Linked DNA regions of Rhinolophus ferrumequinum. The protein of the gene in region 1 purifies or fractionates together with the protein of each later gene. This does not show direct contact. Links are inferred from orthologs where the notes say so. Each region holds a gene or a part of one and is shown in the gene's direction. Other genes may lie near its edges.

The links.
Region 2: the proteins of NUDCD3 (region 1) and KLHL9 purify together in Homo sapiens (co-immunoprecipitation; 3 studies listed by BioGRID and IntAct, with this or other methods). This does not show direct contact. The link is inferred for Rhinolophus ferrumequinum from reciprocal best matches to the Homo sapiens genes NUDCD3 and KLHL9.

What each region holds. Positions count from the first base shown.
Region 1 is NC_046303.1:273,975-284,128, reverse strand, and holds the start of NUDCD3 (nudC domain-containing protein 3), read left to right. Parts: upstream 1-4,863; 5' UTR 4,864-4,997; coding exon 4,998-5,189; intron 5,190-10,154. Other genes in the region: NPC1L1 (NPC1-like intracellular cholesterol transporter 1), read left to right, coding at 711-883.
Region 2 is NC_046295.1:18,596,778-18,606,931, forward strand, and holds KLHL9 (kelch-like protein 9), read left to right. Parts: upstream 1-5,031; 5' UTR 5,032-5,567; coding exon 5,568-7,421; 3' UTR 7,422-8,400; downstream 8,401-10,154.

The sequences.
Region 1 (10,154 bases):
TGTGCCCCAATATATATACGCCTGTCCTCCTAGCACCCCTCCAGGTAGGTACTCACTGATGGGGAAACTGAGGCCGTGGCCCAGTCACAGGGCAGTGCCAGTGCCCACCCCCGGTACCCCAGTCTTTTGCAGGGATTTCCTGACTCTCTTGGGAAGGACAGTGTGTGTTGGGGATGGTGGGTGGGAGGTGAGCAGCAGTCCTGGGTCAGCCTCTGGGAGGACCCCAGAGTGTTGGGAGGCAGGGAAGGAGGAACTCGCAGGTCTCACCCCTGCAGAGTGGCCCAGAACCTCCCTGCAGTATGGGCCTTTAGGCAGTGTTCCAGAAAGGAGTGACAGGCACAGAGGCCCCAGGGCCACTCCCTGCCCTGAGTCTGTCAGCAGTGAGGACCAGCTTTTCCCAGCAGGGAGTGCTCACTGTGGTGTGAGCATAGGATGCTCCCGGAGAAAGGAGAGGGGGATGCACAGGCTGTGGGGGTGTCAGGGCTTCCCCTGCCAGGTCATGCTGACGGCGGGGGTCTGCTCTGGAAGGTGGAAGGTCAGCGGGTTCAGCGCAGATGACAGCTGAACTGGCTGCTGGTTTTTCGGGGTTGCATGGAGTGAAGGACAGGGTGCAGTGGGGGGGCTTAAGGCTCAGCTGCGGATCTTTCTTGGCTGCACCGCCCAGCTGGCTGCCTCGCTGACCGTGGTCCTGTCTGTCTGTCCCTCTGCAGGGCCTGATGCCAACCCAGGCCTGGTGCTGGAGCAGAAGCGGGCAGAGGAGGCAGTCATGGCCAGGATGGCTTCCTGCCCAAAGCATCCGTCCCCGATGAGCATGGCCAAAAGCATCTACGTCAACTACAGCTTTGAACATCCTGCCAGCTGTGAGGTTGGGCAGACATCGTGATGCAGCCAGGGCCCCAGCCAGGCTGGAGAGGCAATGAGGACTCCCCGGTGGGAACGTTGACCCCTCCTCCCCCTCAGGGCCCAGGAGAGGCTGTCCCTGTGGGAATGTCCATGACGGGCACCTTCTGGCCAGCAGGTCCCTGATGGGCTCTCAGCCCTGGTAGCAGGGCCCTCATTTCCAAGAAGTTGGCACAGGATAGTCGTCTTCTCCCTGAGACCTGGGTCTCGGGTGTCCAGGAATAAGACACACTTCTTGACAATTGTTCCAGACTCAGAACTCTCCCATAATCGCCCACTTCCTACCCACCCCCCTCCAGCGCTCTGGCAAAAAAGTCCCACTATGGTGTCAGCCTTTAAGACTCTTTAGCGTCACTGAGAACAGACAGCAGGACCCTCAGCCTGGCTGCAGTTTCCGCAGAAGGCCAGGGAGAGGCTTCCTGCTGGTGGGGGAGGGCAGCAGAATGCTCTGGAAAACATACTGTCATGGATTGACCTCACTAGAAATGACACTTGGTTTGGCCTCCAGCTCCAACCATTATTAAGACCTCCAATGGAGGCTGCCAGTGTGTCTGCAAGGCTGCGCGAGCTCCTGGGGACAGGCCAGCCCTCCCACCGCTGTCACATGCCTGGAGCACCGGCCAGGGCCTCAAACCAGCCCAACCATGATCCCGTGAAATGTAGACCGAGGAATGCACCTTGCTCAGTGCGTGCACACTGGTGCTTAATAAATGTCTATTGAGGAGAAATGGTGTTTTATGTCACATGTCTTATTCTGGCTGCCTCTGGGTTTAAGATAATTTTTGTACATTACACAAATACCACATGTGGAAGGGTGATTTGTGGAGATGTTACTTTGTGTTTTCCCCTCCCCTTTTGCAAGAAAGTAGCCAGGCCATCATGTGCCCTTCCTTAGAAGTGACTTTCAGAAGCGGAGGCAACTCCCCCACAAGCAGGAGGCACAGAGCCTGTGGGTCTGGCCAGTGCAGGGACCCGCCGCTGCTCCCTTCCTGTGCAGGGCCCTCAGCTGGGAGAGCACGGAAATATGTGTCTAAATACATGTGGCTACGTGTACATACAGAGAGTTCTATCCGCAGCCATCTGCATCTATATTGGGCTAAACACAAGCTCATTCTGATGCCTCCAGCTCTAACCCACCACCACATGGATCATTCCAGGCTCCTCCCTTGCTTATCTGTAACCAGCCAAGCCAACAGTGAGAAGCCTGGCTTCACCTCCCACACCACTGCCTCAGTTGCTCATTTCCACTGTGCAGATGCACGATTTTCAGAATGGATAACCCTGCGGGAAACGTTAGAATGAAGTTTCTTCGTGCAGTCCCTTGGCCCCGCCCACTCCACTCATTTCCGGTTTACCCAGGTCAGCATCTCCATTCAGTGGGGCTGTCTCATACATTGGTAATAAATAGACTGTTTTGTCACATTCCGCATTCCATTCCGAGCCCCAATCTCTTGATTGCTTAAAATTTGTGCACATTAAGGTCGTTCTCGGTGCTATAAACGTCTCTGGCTTTGGACAATACATGTGCCAGGTGTCCAGCAGCAGTCTCGACTACAACAGCTTCACCCATCCGACTTTTCCTCATACCCAAGCCCTGGCAAACACTGCTCTGATTACCGTTTCCACGACCCTGCCATTTTTCAGGATGTCATGCTGCGTGGCAGCCTTCTCAGACTGGCTTCTACCTCTGAGCAATACGTTTTCAAGATCCACCAACATCATTCTGCTGCTGGGGTGCTCATTCCTTCTTGCTGATGACAGTGTTTCACTGTGTGCATGGACGAGTGTGTTCATCCATTCATCTCTTCAAGGGTGTCTTGGTTGCCTCCAGTTTTTGGCAATTATGAGTAAAGCTGCTATAAACATCTGTATGTTTTCGTGTGGACAAGGTCTTCAGCCCAGTTGGGTGAATACCTAAGAGTGTGATTGCTGGATTGTATGGTAAGAGTATGTTTAGCTTCCTACTCACTTTAAATATTTTATTTACTTTTTGAACAGGGAATGCAAGCACATGGTACCGACTTCGAAGGTGGCCTCCTCTGTTCTGTCCTGTTTCCCGAGTCCCCTCTGCAGAAGCAGTTTCTGTTGACCTCTTGTGATGCTTTCAGATGTCATTCAAAACCTGGAAATACAGCAAGCAGATGGCTGCATGTCCTTCTCAAGTCAGACTGAGGCATTATGTAACAGGCCCATCTCAGGGCTCCCTAATTCTCTAGGCCAGCAGTTCTCAAGAGTATAGTCTGTTGACTCCTGGGCGGTCTCCAAGATCAAAGTAATAAATGTGGTTATTTGCTTTTTCACTGTACAGACATTTGCAATGATGGTACAAAAGCAACAGTGGGTAACACTGCTGGTCTTAGCAGGAATCAACGTTGGTGGTTGTATGTACTCGGGCTGCCATAACAAAGTACCACAGACTGGGTGGCTTAAACAACAGGAATTAGTTTTCCCACAGTTCTGGAGTCTGGAGTCAGGGTTGGTGTCTGGTAAGACCTCTCTTCCTGACTCGGATGCGGCTGAAATGCTGCTGTCTGCACACGCAGCCTTTCTTCTGTGTGTATTCAGGGACACTGTACCTGTGAGTGTGTAAAAGATCCATTCTAAGCAGGACAGACCAATGGATATTGGTGTGACAAAGTAGGAAACATCTATTGATATGTTTTAAATTCCATATTGCACCTAACCTCTAAGAAACTACTACTAGCCGAATTTGGGTGTAGTTTCAAAGAATAATAAAGTTATTTGAAAAGACAATAAAAACAGTCCTCTCATTTCCAGCCGCTGACTGTGAGCTGGGCTTTCTTCATATACATCAATCCCAAGATATCGCTGCAGGGTTCTGGGCAGCAGATGTCAGATCCTGCTGTCTTCTCTTCAGCCAGACGCTGAAGAGATTGAAAACTGTAAAACTATGCTACTCTTTTCACTAAACTTTTCTTGCTTTGAAGAACATTATTTTTTCATAAAAATGTTAACATGTAATGCTTTTCATAGATTAAAAATGAATAATTTAAAATTTTGTTTTAATTTCCAATATGGTAACTATCAATAAGCATAACCCACATGAAGACTACCGGAGTCTTCAGTAGGTTTTAACAGCATAAATGGGTCCTGAGTCTAAAAAGTTTCAGAACCACTTCTCTAGGGCAATTTGAGTTTGAGTTTATTTACAATTCCTTAGAATCCATACACCATGAAGATATATGTTGTTAACTTATAGATCTGAGTCGTTGAGATGCGAGTCATTTCCTATCTACTAGAAAAGGTAACCTTCGGTTTTACCATCATGTAGGACACCAGCTAGCTTTGTATCCAACCCAACAACCTGGCTGTTTTCTCAGTAAGGACCCAGTTCCTCCCAATGCTGCGAACCAGCTTTATCACGTCACTGGTGACTTCGTTAATTAAACTGTTGAATAAAATCTTTGACAGTTTTTAACTTTTGTACTTGGACAACACGTGGGACAGGTGTATGTACACTATGCACACGCAGGTTTCCCAATGATGGCACACCAGACTGTTGCGCACCTTTTCCACGCAGCACTCGGGCACGTACGCACTCTAAGTTCTTCCTTCTACTTACGACGCCACCTTGCATTTCACCCACTGTCTGTCGTTAACGGGACACATGCCACCCGCACGCACGCACGTTCCTCCTCCCACCCATCAGCGCAAGGCTCGCGCGGTCGCGCTGGGAAACCAGGGATCGGGACACCCGGGCGGTAGCGCGACCCACAGACCACATAACAGGACCGGGCCACGTGGTGCTGCGTCCGCCGCACTCTTCCGCCCGTTTCCAACATGGCCACGAGGCGCCCTCAGTCGCGCAGCCCCTGGCCCTCTGGCGTCTAGGAGCCACTTCGGGGCCCAAGTGCACTCCTCCGCGAGGGAGCCCGGGAACAGGCGGGGCGGCGGGGGAGGGGCCAGCGGCGAGACCGCCCAAGCGCAGCGCAGCCGCCGGGGCCGAGCGAGCGCGGACCGGAAGTTTCGCGGGTGCGCCCGCGGCGGGGCCGTTACCGCGGCGCGCCGGAAGTGGCCGTGGGCCGGCGTCCGGGCCGCGCCTGCAGTGAGCGAGCTGTCCTCCTGCCGGCGACGCCATGGAGCCCGGGGCGGCCGAGCTGTACGACCAGGCCCTGCTGGGCATCCTGCAGCACGTGGGCAACGTCCAGGACTTCCTGCGCGTGCTCTTCGGCTTCCTCTACCGCAAGACCGACTTCTACCGCCTGCTGCGCCACCCGTCCGACCGCATGGGCTTCCCGCCGGGGGCCGCGCAGGCGCTGGTGCTACAGGTGACGCGCGCCGGGCGGGCGGGCGGGGTGTGGGGCGGGCGGTGGGAGCCCCGCCTCCGGGCGCCCGGATCCCCGGGAATTGCCGACCCTTGCGAGTCCGCCCTTCGCTCCGCTCCCGGCCTCAGTTCCCCCTCTGGCGCTTCCCCGGACTCTCCTCCTGGGGCCGGGGCTGCGAGTAAGCAGAGACGCTGGTCGCATATCAAGTTGCTCCTGTGTGGGAGCAGGACTGGCTCTCGACAGCCTGGCTGACACAGGGCGCACTTGGGTGTCAGAAGTAGCACACCCCCGCTCAGGGCCAGCTTGGCTTTCGCAGCCCAGGACCCCTGGAGGTGCCAGGGACTGCCAGTCAGGGAATGAAAACGAGCACCTTGACTCCCCAAACCACAGACTGGAGGAGGAAGGGAGACTGTGGCGATTGATGGGTGTGGTCCCCTTGTTGGAAATGGGTCAAAGACAGCACATTGGAGCGTACATCTGTATATCCCAGGTTACGTTTATTGTATATTTGAGGTCCCGTGAACCCTCCCTGAACCTGACTAGGTACCTTGGAGTGTAGTAAGCAAGTCCTTGCTGCTCCTGTTTACACTCAGCTGAAACAGGCAGAGGTGCACTGTGGTTTGGGTGTTTAAGTAATGGTCTCTCCTTGTGACACTTGTTATAGTTAAGAAGGAAAAGCACAGGCAGTAACAACTGTGCAAGGCCAATTGTGTGACAGCCATGGAAGGAAAGGAATAGAAAGGATGGTTTGGAAGTCAGAAAGGGGAGGTGGGACTGTGATGGGATGAAAGTGGGTCTTCAGTTGAGCATTGAGCCTTTTGGTAGGAACCTGAGAAAATTGAAACGCAGGTGGTACCTCCCACAGTCCCCTAGCACTTTACAGTTTATACAGTGCTTTCGAATGTGACCTGAAGTCTTGCTGCAACCTGTGAGTTGCTCAGGAATTTCCCTGGTGCCTGAGGAAGAAACCAAAGCTCACAATGTTTTAGTAACTAAAGATAATACAGTGTAATGAGGGGTGGAGTTGAGTGTCAGTGTCAGAACTGAAGGCTCTTCCTCATCCTTCCAGTGGCCTTGCGCCATCTGACTGAGGGTTCCTAGCAGGCCCTGTAACAGTTTGCTAGTTTCGTGGATATTCCTGTGAAGTAGATGCGGTTGATTTTTTTGGCAGGTGAGGGTGCTAGCTCAGCAAGGCTAGGTGATTGACCAGACTTGTAGAGCTGGAACTCAAAACTTCGTTTTTGTGATTCCAGATGTTTCTGCTCCATTATTTAACCATTCCACGCATGGTAGGGTGGGAATGCTGGGATGTAGGGTGAGTGCAGCTTGCAGAAAGGATGTGGAAGAGAAAGAAGCAGTTATTACGGCGGGGGTTTTACAGGCCAGGACGCTATCTTACTTAATGCTAACACAACCTGAAAGGCTGGGCTTTGCCCTTGTTTTACAGATGAACCGACAGGTAACTCATTTATCTGGTATCTATATGTAAACCTACTATGTTCACGGTTAAGACTTGGTGACCAGTTTAAGTGGAGGTGAGAGCAGAGCAGGACAGGGCAGGGATGAATCAGAGATGACCCAAGGTTTCAAACTTGGGTGGGTGGAGTAACGATAATGCATTAACTGTACTGTCACTTGAGTTTGGGGAAAAGCCTAGTTTTACACAAGTTAATTTGAAGTCGTAGACAGAAGCCCCTGCCCCCAGGCTATTGGGTTTGGGACTGGACCTCGGGGAGCCAGAGACCTGAGTGGTCTGAGGGAGCGAAGAGCTGAAGGTGGAGGGTCGGGAAGGGAGAGGAGAAGCAGGAAGCTGTAGAGTGGGAGGGGGTGGGGTAGTAAGTGTCACAGAAACTGAGGGGACAGTTTCCAGCAGAGGGTGGAGAGGGGTTCCGTTTCTGGAAGTGGTTCCCACCCGTTAATATTGCCCAGGAAGTTTACCAAAGCAGACATTCCCTGGGTGTCTTGGTTGGAGGGTCAGGGTGACTCCTGGGAGCTGTCCCTTAACTGCAGGGGCGTGTGGCAGGACATCTGTGAAGCCGGGTTCAGCACCGCACAGTTTTGTTGTGGGTGGGACACCAAGGTACTGAGTGAGGACAAGTTTCCACTTATAAAACAGCTAAACCGTGGGATGAAACGCACAGCTTAGGGTGGTAGTCAGTGCTATTGTGACAGCATGCCACGTGACAGGTCATGGCAGTGGTCGTGGGGATCACCGAGGGTCCAGCTGTCAGTCGCTGCGTATATAGCTGAAATGAATAGGACGCTGTCACCTGTGCCTCAAAAAGAAAGAAAAGATGCCGGGTCAGAGCTAGGGACTTGGTACCACTCAGTGTCACCTGCCAGTGGTATTGGATGGCCTCCTGACCTCACTGTGCTCGTCAGCCCCTGACTTGATGGCAAAAGAGTACTTCCTGTGGCCACCCCACCTGAGAGGAGGTGCTTGGGGTCTCTTCAGACCACAGGCAAAGGGGGTGTGGATGGGAGTGTTGGGGTGCTCCATTCGGGAACTCAAAAGCGTTCCCTGATAATTTGGGGGGTGGCGTAAAACTGGTCAGACTTTTCCTCCTAATTCTGAGGGCTTGCACAGCCTGCATGCGCAGCCAAAGGCCCCTTATCAGGAAAGATGCAGGCGAAAAGTGCGTTTCTCTCCGTGATATGTTAGTGTGTTCTAAGAAAATAGTTCAGAATGACATTTTTGTTTGTTTTCGTTGATGCTGTTTATCTGGAAGTCTCTGGCCAGCCTGCGTGGGAGAAGCCCGCCCAAGAGAGTCAGGAAAACTGGCTCCATTTGTCCCTCACGGAGCTCGTGGGGAGATCTTGGGCCAGTAACTCTCCCCTGTCAGTTGAGAAGGTTGGTTGGAGGTCATAGGTGGCTCTTCCGGCCCTGTGGTCCGCGATTCTAGAATGAGTGAGAGCTGGGGGTGCTGGTGAGCAGAGGCAGGGCTGCCGTGGGACCATCAGGCAGGGTCCGCGGGGTCCCGGCTGTTAGAGGAGCCCTGCTGTTGCTGTTTTTGTGGAGTTAAGATGAAGGTCTGGGGTGTCACGAGCATGAGCAGCTCCAAGGGCAGAGGGTCAGGGTTACAAATGAGGTTTCGGAAGGAGGAGCAGGTCGGCATCGTCTCCTGTCTTCAGCCTCAGGCCTTTGTCTCCCCGCTGCGTCTATCAGTGGTTTCCTCTCTCAATGCAGGACCTCTGGCAGGCAGCTGCCCTCGGAGCCCGACTCCATTGCCTTTGAAACAGTAGTGTTCCTTTTCTCGGCACTGTCATGGGTCTTGAGAGACTTTGCCAAACATTTGGCGTGGCTCGGTGTGTTCGTACCTTCTTCAGTCTGTCCTCTGCTCGGTGCACAGGACACGATTATTTAATGTCAGGGTATGTCCTGCCCTTTGGAAATGGACTCCTGCCCACTGGTAAAACATTTGTGGTTTTTCTTTTATCATAAGACAACTTTTTTTAAGAGCAGTTTTAGGTTTACAGCAAAATTGAGGGGAAGGCCCAGAGTCCCCACAGCCCCTCCCACATGTAGCCCCCCCCAGAGTCATGACCTTTGATACAGTTGATGAACCCACACTGACATGTCATTGTCACCCCAACCAGCAGCTTTAGAGTCACTCTGGGTTGTGTACGTTCTGTGGGTTTGGACAAACGTATTGTGTCACGTGTCCATCATTACAGTGTCACACAGAGTGGTTTCACTGCCTTGGCGTCCTCCATGCTCCCCCATTCATTTCTCCCTCCCCCCTAAACGCTGATCCTTTTACTGTCTCTATAGTTTTGCATTTTACAGAATGTCACATAGTTGGAACCATTACAGTGTGCAGCCTTTTCAGACTGGCTTCTGTCATTTAGTAACATGCACTTGAGGTTCCTGCGTGTCTTTCCGTGGCTGACAGCTCGTCTCTGTAGTGCTGTTAACGTCCTTCTGTCTGGATGGGCAGTTTGTCCACCCACCCACTGAAGGACATCTCTGCTCCTAGTTTGGAGAGTAGTGAATAAAGCTGCTCTAAACATTCGTGTGTGGGGTTTTGTGTGGGGTTAGTGTTCAGTGCTATTGGCAAATACCAAGGGGCACGGTCGCTGGGTAACTGGCAGGTCTGCTCCCACCGTGCTCCTAGGTGAGGTCTCCCAGCCTCCTGCCTTCAGCAGCCACAGGGACTTTTTCTTGAGGACCTCGCCTCTGGAGGCTGTGGTTTCCCGAGGAACACGGGCCTGCCTTTCGTTGAAGGTCTGACCAGACCCCTTCCTTCCAGGAAACCCCTCCATGTTTCTCTCATCAGCAATGCTCGCTTGCCTCATTGTGAAGGCCTGGTGGGTGTGACCTCAGCCTCTGCCGTCAGGTCGTCATGTGTGGGTCTGTCCTGGCTGCACTTCCAGGGTTATGTGTGCCCTTGGACATGTTTGGGCTATGTTTCATGTGCACTTCCTGGGGGTACAGTCCCAGCACTTTTATGGGCGTGACTGTGTCCCAGGAGAGACGGAGGCAGGGCTGGTTTACCTTCTGCGTTTGGAGAGGGTGGGAGCTGTCAGTAGGAGGCCGTGCTTTGCGCACTGCCAGCACATCCTAGAGGTTTGTTGGGCTGAACTCCCAGCCTTCGGAGACCCAGGCCGCCGAGCCAGAGAGGCCGCTGCCAGCCGCGCACGGTGCCTGCTGCCGTCCTGCGAGTGAACTTCAGCTCCATCTCCTCTGCCATCTGCCGTCTGAGCTGTGGGCCTGAGCAGCGCTCAGTACCTGGGCAGCGAGTGCTTTGCACGGCCGCGCAGCTGGATGGCAGCTGGACAGACAGGCTGAGGGTGATGGCGGCAGGGCCGTTCAGTCTTGCATCGTGAGGCGACAAGTGGGGCTTCTGCGGCCGTGGCTTGTGAGGCCTCCCTGGTCGGGCTGGAACTCCCGCAGGAGGGGACACTGCCTGGCAGCGGTCGGCCCAGCCGAGTGCGTGTCCCTCCGGCCGGCGGCGGTGCTGTCCCCCT
Region 2 (10,154 bases), on another chromosome or scaffold:
CTCTGAAGCACATTCGCTCCTGGACTCAAGATGCTGCTGCTGGTCCAGGCATCGCAGCCATGGACCACAGTGGGCAGAGGCAGAAAGGGACTAACCTTCCTCTGTCTGCTGACCGAGAGCGAGGCCGCCTTGTGCAGAGCCCTCTGCAAACTTTACCACAAGCCTCACTGACCGGGACTTGGACCACGCGCCGACTCCTGCACCAGCCACTGGTGAAGAGAACGAGATTGCTGTGTATAGTGTGGGCAAGTTATGTGGGAGGGAGCAGATATTGGGGAGCCAGTCACAAGGACTTCAAGGTAATGCGTTCACATTGTAAATAAAAGTAGACCACTATGAACAATGATAAGATCATGACGAAGGTCGTTTTGAAGAGCTCCAAGTCCACAAATGAGGCAATATTCCATTGAAAGGGTGTGTCTGGACAGGCACATGGGCTGTAATCCTAATATTACTTTACACTTAATAGCAAGAGTTTGTATTGCACTTCCCCACGAGCTTCTCATTGGTGTTCCACATCTCTAGGGATAGCGGCAACTATTATTTCATTTTATAGAAAATAAAGCAATTGAGCATTTTGTCTGGTGTCTAATGATTAGCAAGAAATAGAGGTGGGGCAGGACGCCAGGCCTTTTGACAGCTACTTAACAGGTCTTTCTGCTACATCATCCTGCTCCGTCTAACAAATGCCTGATAGGGGCAGAGCACCCTGACTCTTCCCAAGTGTACACACACATCTCTCTTGATTCCCAGAGTATCACGAGGCATCCCAAAAAGGGGGAATTATCTTCATTTCACAGATAGGGATATTGAGGCTCAGGCGGGCTGATGGCAAAAAAATCTCAGGTTCAGGTGAATGGAACCGGTTTTATTTGTTTTGTTTTTTACTATCACGTGGTAGTTATTTCCTTCTTATAGACCGCTAGCTGCCTCTCAACACCTAGTCCTAAATCAGCAAGCATGTCTCCAAACAACATGGGATCCCCATTCCAAATTTTCCCTCTAAAGCCCCTTCTGGCTCCACGCCATCAGCTTCCGTTCTGCCTAAGCAGCTGGTGCTTCTCTGTGAGCTCCTGACATCTCCCCTTTTATTGTGGCCTCAAGGCTCTCTGACCTTCCAAGGGGATCATTAGTTCATTTTACAAACTCATTTGCTGAGGAAAGACTCCAGGTTCTTGGCCTTCTAGGGAAGAATAACAATGGCGTTCTAGAGACACGGCACTCACTTGTGTTTCTCTCCCAAGGCAGTTATCCCCATAGTGGGCATTTTAGGGCCGGCTAGAGGGAAGTCTTGACCCTTAGACCTTAGGTGAGTAAGCACCCTCCTGCTGTGATTATCCTAGAGAAGGGCAAAGGGAACGAGTGATGCAGGAGAAGGAGCCCTGACCGGAGAGAAGACATGCCTACTGTGTGACCGTCGTATCTAAGCTCCTATTTACAAAATAAAGATATCAACTTCAATCCAGCCCAAGTTCCCAGAGTTTTTTATAAGACTTTATCAGATCATTTGTGAATACATTTTGAGCTAAACAGATTGGTCTAAGTAGTCACAGGGGCCCCTCAGGTTAAAAGGAGTAGAAAGAGTGTTAAAGAAGCTGTGGCCGTCTTTTACCCACCACACTGTTTTTCTGTTTCAGAAGCAAGTTGAGCCCAAGCGTCAATTGTTGGCTAACTTTATAACGAAAGAGTGTGGGGAACCTCAAGACTAACGGCTTGGGGAAACTGGGTTAGAATGTGAGACGTATCATTGCAATCAACTCTCTTCTGCTCTGAGGTGTCCTAGCTGCTAAGCCTCTGCTCTCCTGTACACACTCAGGAGCTCCCGAGGCACACAGTGAAGGCAGAGAGTCATGCCAAGCCTTTGGCAGTCATTCTAGAAAGTAAACCTGTACTTTATAATTTTTTTGTTTCCTCTTTCTTCCTTAGCAACTGAAGCTTACACATTCTATGATTCCAAGACAGCTGTCCCTTTGTTTTCTTTCTTCACCTTTTTATCCTGTGAAGGGAGTGTAGAGCCTGTGATTTAGATTCAAGTGTTACATATAGCTTGAATGAAATGAATGAATGAAATTCAACTCCATCCTTCAACTGGGGTTGCAAAATCAGTCTTGGCATTGGTTAAAAATAAACATACCTAAAAAGATTTGAAGGGGTGGCCGGTTGGCTCAGTTGGTTAGAGCGTGGTGCAGGTAGCACCAAGGTTGCTGGTTTGATCCCTGCATAGGCAACTGTGAGCTGTACCCTCCTTAAAAAAATACCTAAAATAAAATTTCAAAAAAGATTTGAAAGTAAAACTTGAAATAATTAAGAGAATAATTAAAAAATATAAAGGTGAATGCTTTTTATGTAATTAGCACAATGTACAGGTGAACATGATATGGAAGCAAATATTGAAATACAATAAATATAGTAAAATAGATAGTTAAGTACATACGAGTAAGCACATTAAAAAGGCCACCTAGGATGGGCGCCCTAGGAACTGGATGCTTTAACTTAGAGTGGCTTAATACTACTGAAACCATCAGTTAACAATTAACATGTTTAGGTAGATCAGAGACTCTAAAGATATAGGTATAGGCTTTAACTAAATGTTTCAATTGCTTTGGTTGTCACACAGCGTATAGTCAAAGATTAAGGCCTGCCTGTAAAGCAAGTTCCAGGAGAAATGTTCAAAAGTACACTTTTATAGAAAATACAGCTAGTTAAGCACAAAACAATGATACCTTAAACAATGGTGATGGTCACAAGATGTCCAATTTTTGCTTTTTGCTTTAAAGAGAACGTCACTGATGCACAATTATGAGATGTTTTTGCAGAATCTTGGTTCTTCAATCCAGCTCATCTCGTTCTCACAATATAATTTTAAGTTGCTGACGTACTGTTTCTTTGTCAAGCAAGAGGAGATAACTCCAGGGTCACAAGAAGAATTTATGAGTTTATTTTACAGAAGGAATAAAAGTTACAACCAGCTGCTGACACCCAGAAGTCTGGTTGCACAAAATGTTATCTATGACTAAAGAAATACAGACTCTCCCCTTGGTTCCATGAAATTCCCCCTCCTCTGCTCCCTAGCCACATAAAAACTCCCTACTTTTGCTTTTTGAGGAAGACAGAGTTGAGAGATCTTGCTCTCTCATCCTCTTGCTTTGGACAAATGGAATAAACCTTTCTGTATCTCCAAGCTCCAGTGTCTCAATGTTTGTTTACTAGCACATCAATGACATGGACCTGAATTTTGGGAGGTGGTTCAGTAACACTACCAATAAGTGTTGTGACAAATTTGATTCAACTTATTTCATGATGCAGGCAGAAAAAAAAAACCAGTCTTTTGAAGTAGCTAAACATTTGGGAGTATGATGAATTATATCTGTCCATAATAGTTTCGTGAAGAGCATGGGTCTGGTTCCTTAGCTCTTAGTCATTTTTGTTAAGCTTGATAATAAAGAGAAAGATAGCATGATTTCTTCCTCTCACAACTTCCCAGGTACAGCAGCTCTGTTTTCTCTTCCACACAGAGACTGATTCCTTGGAAGTACCTCTTCAGGGCCAGTATGGAGTCTTTATAGCTCAGGAGAGTGCTTCCATCCCCAACTCAGACATCGAGCAGGTCTCTAGGACTTCCCGATGCTGATAAAGTCCAGTAAAGAATTTATCCAGTACAGTTTCATCCTAGCCAACCTCTTATCCTGAACAGATTGAAGATCTGCTGAGACATCTGGTGGAGGATAGCAGTGGTCTGAGCCTTTGGGATCTTGCTGCCATCCTTCAGAAACAACAGAAAACAACTGGAACAGCTAACTGTCCATGAGTAAATAATTTATGACACACCTATTCGTGGGTAAAAATAGAACTGCTTAAAAAAGATTAAAAAGTTCTCTCAATTGTCACCCCAATAAACTTAAAAAAAAAAGTTCTCTATTATATGGGAAGATCTTCCAGTGAAAAAAAGATAGGTGCAGAACAGTGAGTATGGTATGTAAGTATCTTTTACATAAAAATTGGGAGAGTGTAAAAAGAATATAGCTATACTCTGATTAGTTTGCATATGCATAAAAGAAACTAGAAGAATTTAAAAGACAGTTGTAACTTCCAACTGAGGAAAATGTTGGAAGAATTTTGTCAAAGTATACATTTATTCATATGACAAATTTAAATTTACTAGTAATTAAAGAAATTCAAGTTAATAAAATATCTATAAAAGGAAAGATAAATAGAAGGGAAAAGCACATTCAAAACATCTATTGTGAGTTTTGGAAAGAAATATTTATGTCTTAGAATTTATCCCAAAATGGGAAAGTTTTGTGCCCAGATTCTGTAAATTACAGATTCTATAAAACAATGGAGGACAAGAATTCAGGAACAAATAATGGGCAAAGGAAAGGACAGCACCGGTATGTATAGTTATCGGACAATTGTGTAGCCGTTTAAAAATTTGAATGGAAAACAAAAGCATGGAGAATTACTGATGGTGGAATTCCACTGGAAGGCAAAAATACAGGCTATATTATTTACATAGCACAGTCACAATTTGGTATTTAAAGAGACAGATGATATGTGTTTTAAATGATTGAAAACAGTTATAATTGAAGTGTCAATTAAATGGTGTGGGATATAAATGAAAAAGTCTTTTAAAGAGGAAAACTTGTAAGCATCGTTCCCCCCCTCCCCCCGCCCTCCTCTGCTATGTTTTACTTCAATTTATATAAAAGCCGTAATTCATTGTTATTCAAAGGGCAGAAGCCAGGAAGTGTAAACCTTAAACAAAAAGTGTGCCTGGGGTGGGGGTGGGGGGTGGAGCGCTCAGAAGCTGTGCAGTTTATACCAAACGTGCAGCATAACCTACGTGCTGGCCTATTTAGTCCCACCTAGAATATGACCCAAAGAGGGCCGGCTCGCGCCCACCCGGCACAGCTCCGCTCCCCCGCCCCCTACCCTTCCAGTCCCCAGCGCACTTCCTCCCCCTTCCCCCCGCCCCCGCCCACTGGCGAGTTGGACGGCCGCGCCGCCGCGCAGCCGCAGTAAGTGCTGCGGCCGCTCCTAGCCCGGGGGATCCTGGGACTAGGCCTTTCCGGAAAGGACCGGCTGGGCGTCGGGGGCTAAGGCCCGTGTTCCAGACCCGTGTTCCAGGCCCTTGCTCCAAGAAAGCCCGGGCCACGACGAAGCTCTAGTGACGGCGGAGGACGCAGCAGGCTGCTCGCTGAGGTGCCCGGCCTCGCCGGCGAGCGAGCCGCGGAGCCGCAGTACGTGGCGGTGCCTCCCCCTTGGCCTGGAGCGGAACTGCTGGAGGAGCGGCAGCGCAGGCCAGACAAGGTGAACCGGGTCAATTAACTGCCTTCAGATGATGAATCATCTGCATAACAATCAGATTTGATGTCCGCAGCCCTTTGTGGTCCTGCTGCAGAACCCTTTTAAGTGGATGACTGATTGGTGTGTTCAGAAGGGTGCCACGGTGACTGCTTGCCCTTGACAAGGAAAGCGGATCTCCTGCGCTTTGGACATCCTCGGTTCCTTGAAAGCATTCCGGTTTTAACTTCTTTCTCTGGCATCTTTGTGCAAGAGGCTTTCCCATGAAAGTGTCTCTTGGTAACGGCGAAATGGGCGTTTCCGCCCATTTACAGCCTTGCAAGGCAGGAACCACACGATTTTTTACCAGCAATACGCACAGTTCGGTGGTATTGCAAGGCTTTGATCAGCTTAGAATAGAAGGATTGCTTTGTGATGTGACTTTGGTACCAGGTGATGGAGATGAAATTTTCCCTGTTCACAGAGCTATGATGGCGTCTGCTAGTGATTATTTCAAAGCTATGTTTACAGGTGGAATGAAAGAACAAGATTTAATGTGCATTAAGCTTCATGGCGTGAACAAGGTTGGTCTGAAGAAAATAATTGATTTTATTTATACTGCAAAACTTTCTCTTAATATGGACAATCTTCAGGACACACTTGAAGCTGCCAGCTTTTTACAAATTTTACCTGTTTTGGACTTCTGTAAAGTGTTTCTTATTTCAGGAGTCTCTTTAGATAACTGTGTTGAAGTTGGGCGAATAGCTAACACTTATAACCTTATAGAAGTGGATAAATATGTCAATAATTTTATCCTGAAGAATTTTCCTGCATTATTGAGTACTGGGGAGTTTCTAAAACTCCCTTTTGAACGGCTTGCCTTTGTGCTTTCCAGTAATAGTCTTAAGCACTGTACGGAACTTGAGCTCTTCAAGGCTGCCTGTCGCTGGCTAAGGTTGGAAGACCCTCGAATGGATTATGCTGCAAAATTAATGAAGAATATTCGATTTCCACTGATGACACCACAGGACCTCATCAATTATGTGCAGACAGTGGATTTCATGAGAACGGACAATACCTGTGTGAATTTGCTTTTGGAAGCTAGCAATTACCAAATGATGCCATATATGCAGCCAGTGATGCAGTCAGATAGAACTGCCATTCGATCGGACTCAACACATTTGGTTACATTAGGAGGAGTTCTGAGGCAGCAGCTGGTTGTCAGTAAAGAATTAAGGATGTATGATGAAAGGGCACAAGAGTGGAGATCTTTAGCCCCTATGGATGCTCCTCGTTACCAGCATGGCATTGCTGTCATTGGAAACTTTCTTTATGTAGTTGGTGGTCAAAGTAATTATGATACGAAAGGAAAAACTGCTGTTGATACAGTTTTCAGATTTGATCCACGGTATAATAAATGGATGCAGGTTGCCTCATTAAATGAAAAGCGCACGTTCTTCCACTTGAGTGCCCTCAAAGGACATCTGTATGCTGTTGGTGGGCGAAGTGCAGCTGGTGAACTGGCCACAGTAGAATGTTACAACCCAAGAATGAATGAGTGGAGCTATGTTGCAAAAATGAGTGAACCCCACTATGGCCATGCTGGAACAGTGTATGGAGGCTTAATGTATATTTCAGGAGGAATTACTCATGACACTTTCCAAAACGAGCTCATGTGTTTTGATCCAGACACAGACAAATGGACACAGAAGGCTCCAATGACTACAGTCAGAGGTCTGCATTGCATGTGTACAGTTGGAGACAAGCTCTATGTCATTGGTGGCAATCACTTCAGAGGAACAAGTGATTATGATGATGTACTAAGCTGTGAATACTATTCACCAACCCTTGACCAGTGGACACCAATTGCTGCGATGTTAAGGGGTCAAAGTGATGTTGGAGTTGCCGTCTTTGAAAATAAAATCTATGTTGTAGGTGGATATTCTTGGAATAATCGTTGTATGGTAGAAATTGTCCAGAAATATGACCCAGAAAAGGATGAGTGGCATAAAGTTTTTGACCTTCCAGAGTCACTTGGTGGCATTCGAGCTTGTACTCTCACAGTTTTTCCACCTGAAGAAAACCCTGGGTCACCTTCTAGAGAATCACCTCTTTCAGCACCTTCAGATCATTCTTAGGACTAAGGTCTTAATGTTTTTGCAGTGCATATGGACGATCTTATCATTCCCCCTCAGCTGTATCTTCTTTCAATGATTAGTACAGTTATTAGATTAAAAAGGTAACTGATGTTATTTGTATTGTTTGACTTAGTATGTTTATCAAATGGTTAAATGCATTCTGAAAATGTATTCAACACAGCCAGCTGTTTTAAAAAATGTAAAAAGATCTGTGAAAAAAAAAGGTTAGATGTCCTTTTGTGGTGTTGTGTAAGTCAAATTGTAGGTGATTGTAGTAAATGTATAATTATGTTCATTATGCTTCAAAGTTGATAGTTTTCATCTTTTGACTGCAAAACATCAAAGGGAGGCTGCCAGCTCTAACCTAAAATATTAAACAAAAAGTCGCCAAGTATTATTAGCTACCTCCCTTTTTTCATAGTTTTTGACATAGCTGCCAACTCACCAGATTGTGTTGGTGCACTCAGAATGTGTGAAATTTCTTAGGCAGAAAGGAGAAATAGTAAATTTAAAAATACTAACTTGAAAAAACAGTATAGCCCTAAGTCTGTATCGCTAGAGAGAGGGAGGAGAGACTTCTCTCCCCACACACACACACATACATATGTATATACATACATACACATATATAATTTTTAAATTGGAATTTCAGGCATAGTGAAATTGTTTCTAAATTTAAATTATTTTCTTTTATCTAGCAGCTATTTCTATTCAAATGGGAATTCAATAGCAGAGAATAAATGTCTGTATAGTCATACTGAATTGAGATAGAAGCACTACATAGTAAATTGACAAACCAAGTTTGTCATTTGACTAAATCGTTACTGCAGATGAAACATACGACTTTTTCTGCCTGTATATTATTTTCCGTAGAGTTGCTTTTATACATATTATTTAGCAAAGTTCAGGTTTCAGAGACTTGGCTTTTGCTCTAAATTTAGGCTCTGCTATTTTCTACCTTTGTGTTCAGTAAAACTTACGATACTATAAAAGCAAAGAAATATGCTGAACAGAGCTATAGGATTTTAAGTTCAGTCTCCCAACTTAAGTCATTCTAACAAGATTATTTGATTTGCGGTGGTTGCTCTGGTGCTGCTCCTGCCCTTGTGCATCCTGAACTTTGTGTGATCTGCCTCAAGGCTATGAGCTGAGCAAGCAGTAAATGTACTCTGTTCTGCATCAAATCAGAAAAATGTCCTTTTGGCTATTTCTAAAGAACAGCACCAACTTCAGATTCCCTAAGGAGCCAGCTACAGAAAACCTAGGACATTGCTGTCTTGCAGGCAATACTAAAGTAGATCTTCAGCCTTTTCAATACCAAGGGCATCCTGGCATCCCTACTGGTTGAGAACCATAGGAATCCTCTATAGTGAGTGATTTTCAAGAAGTACTTTCCTGGAATGTCTACCTGAAGAGAAAATTTACATACATACTTTTACCATATATATGTATATGTATATCTCTATACTTGGGAGATTGTCATAGTGTAAATCAGGAACAACCTTCTCTTTATTGATGATCTCATAATAAAACTCAGGAACCAAGACAAATGCAATTGGCTTCCAGGGATCTGAATCTTACTGCCCATACAAGTGTTGATTCATTTTAATGCTTTTTATGATTTCTGCACTGGCAGAAGTTTTCATACTTTCTGTGTTTTTTTTTTTTTTTTAATGATTCAATTTTTTACTAAAAACATTTGAGTACATTTAGAAAATATAAAAAGTAGAAATTGCTGTTAACCTTGTGCATTGAATGAGTAATGGCATCCCAATCATTTCATTATTAGTGAGTTTGTGAGTAGCTGTGTTTCCTCATTGAGCAAATATGTTCATGTACTTTGCCTTTGTAATAATACCTATTGGAGTTGCGTTGTTTTTCATACCAAGTTATAGGGTCTCTTTATATAATAAATATAATTTAACTGGCATTTGCTTGAATTTCTTCTTTTTTCTCAATCACAGTTTTACAAAGGCAGGGCCAATTCAGTTAATTTTTGAGATCAAATTTGTCTTTTTTGCATTTTGACCTTTTAGGGATAATTTTGCTGTTTTTTTATGTAGTACTGATACCACATTCCTTGTCCTTTATCTTAGCCCTTTGTCAGTACTAATTCTTAACCTGCTATGGTGGCATTTGCTATTTGTCTCCTTTAAGTAGCTTTCTGGTTGAAATGGAGATGAATTTTCTTACAAATTTATAAAAATTACTTTTATATTAACAATATTAATCTTTGTTTTAGTAAGACTATTAACTTTTATTTACAGCAAATATTTTATCATTTTTTCTTTGATTATGTCTTAACATACACTTTTTTTTTGTAATATAGTGAAATTAGTTTTTCCTTTGTCATTTTTTCTGCTTTCTTGGCTTATTTTTTCCCCATCATGAGATGGTATAATTATCCCAGTATTTTGTTATTATTATGGAGATGATTTTTTACTAGACTTCTGGTATAAAATTTAATATATGTTTTCAAATTATCTAGTTGTTCCATCACCACTTTTTGAATAATCTTCACTTTCTTACTGAATTTTTAAGCTTTTTAAAATTATAATAAAATTTTATTTATAATATGGGCAATTTAGGGTATTTTTCTTCCGTTTCAATGATCTTTTATTCAAGTTGTCTTTATTAGATAGATTGCTGTTTCAAATGGGATTTTGTTTTCATATACTCCAAACTTTATTGCAATAGTAAGAAATACATGGTTTTAGCATTTTGGTTTTCTGT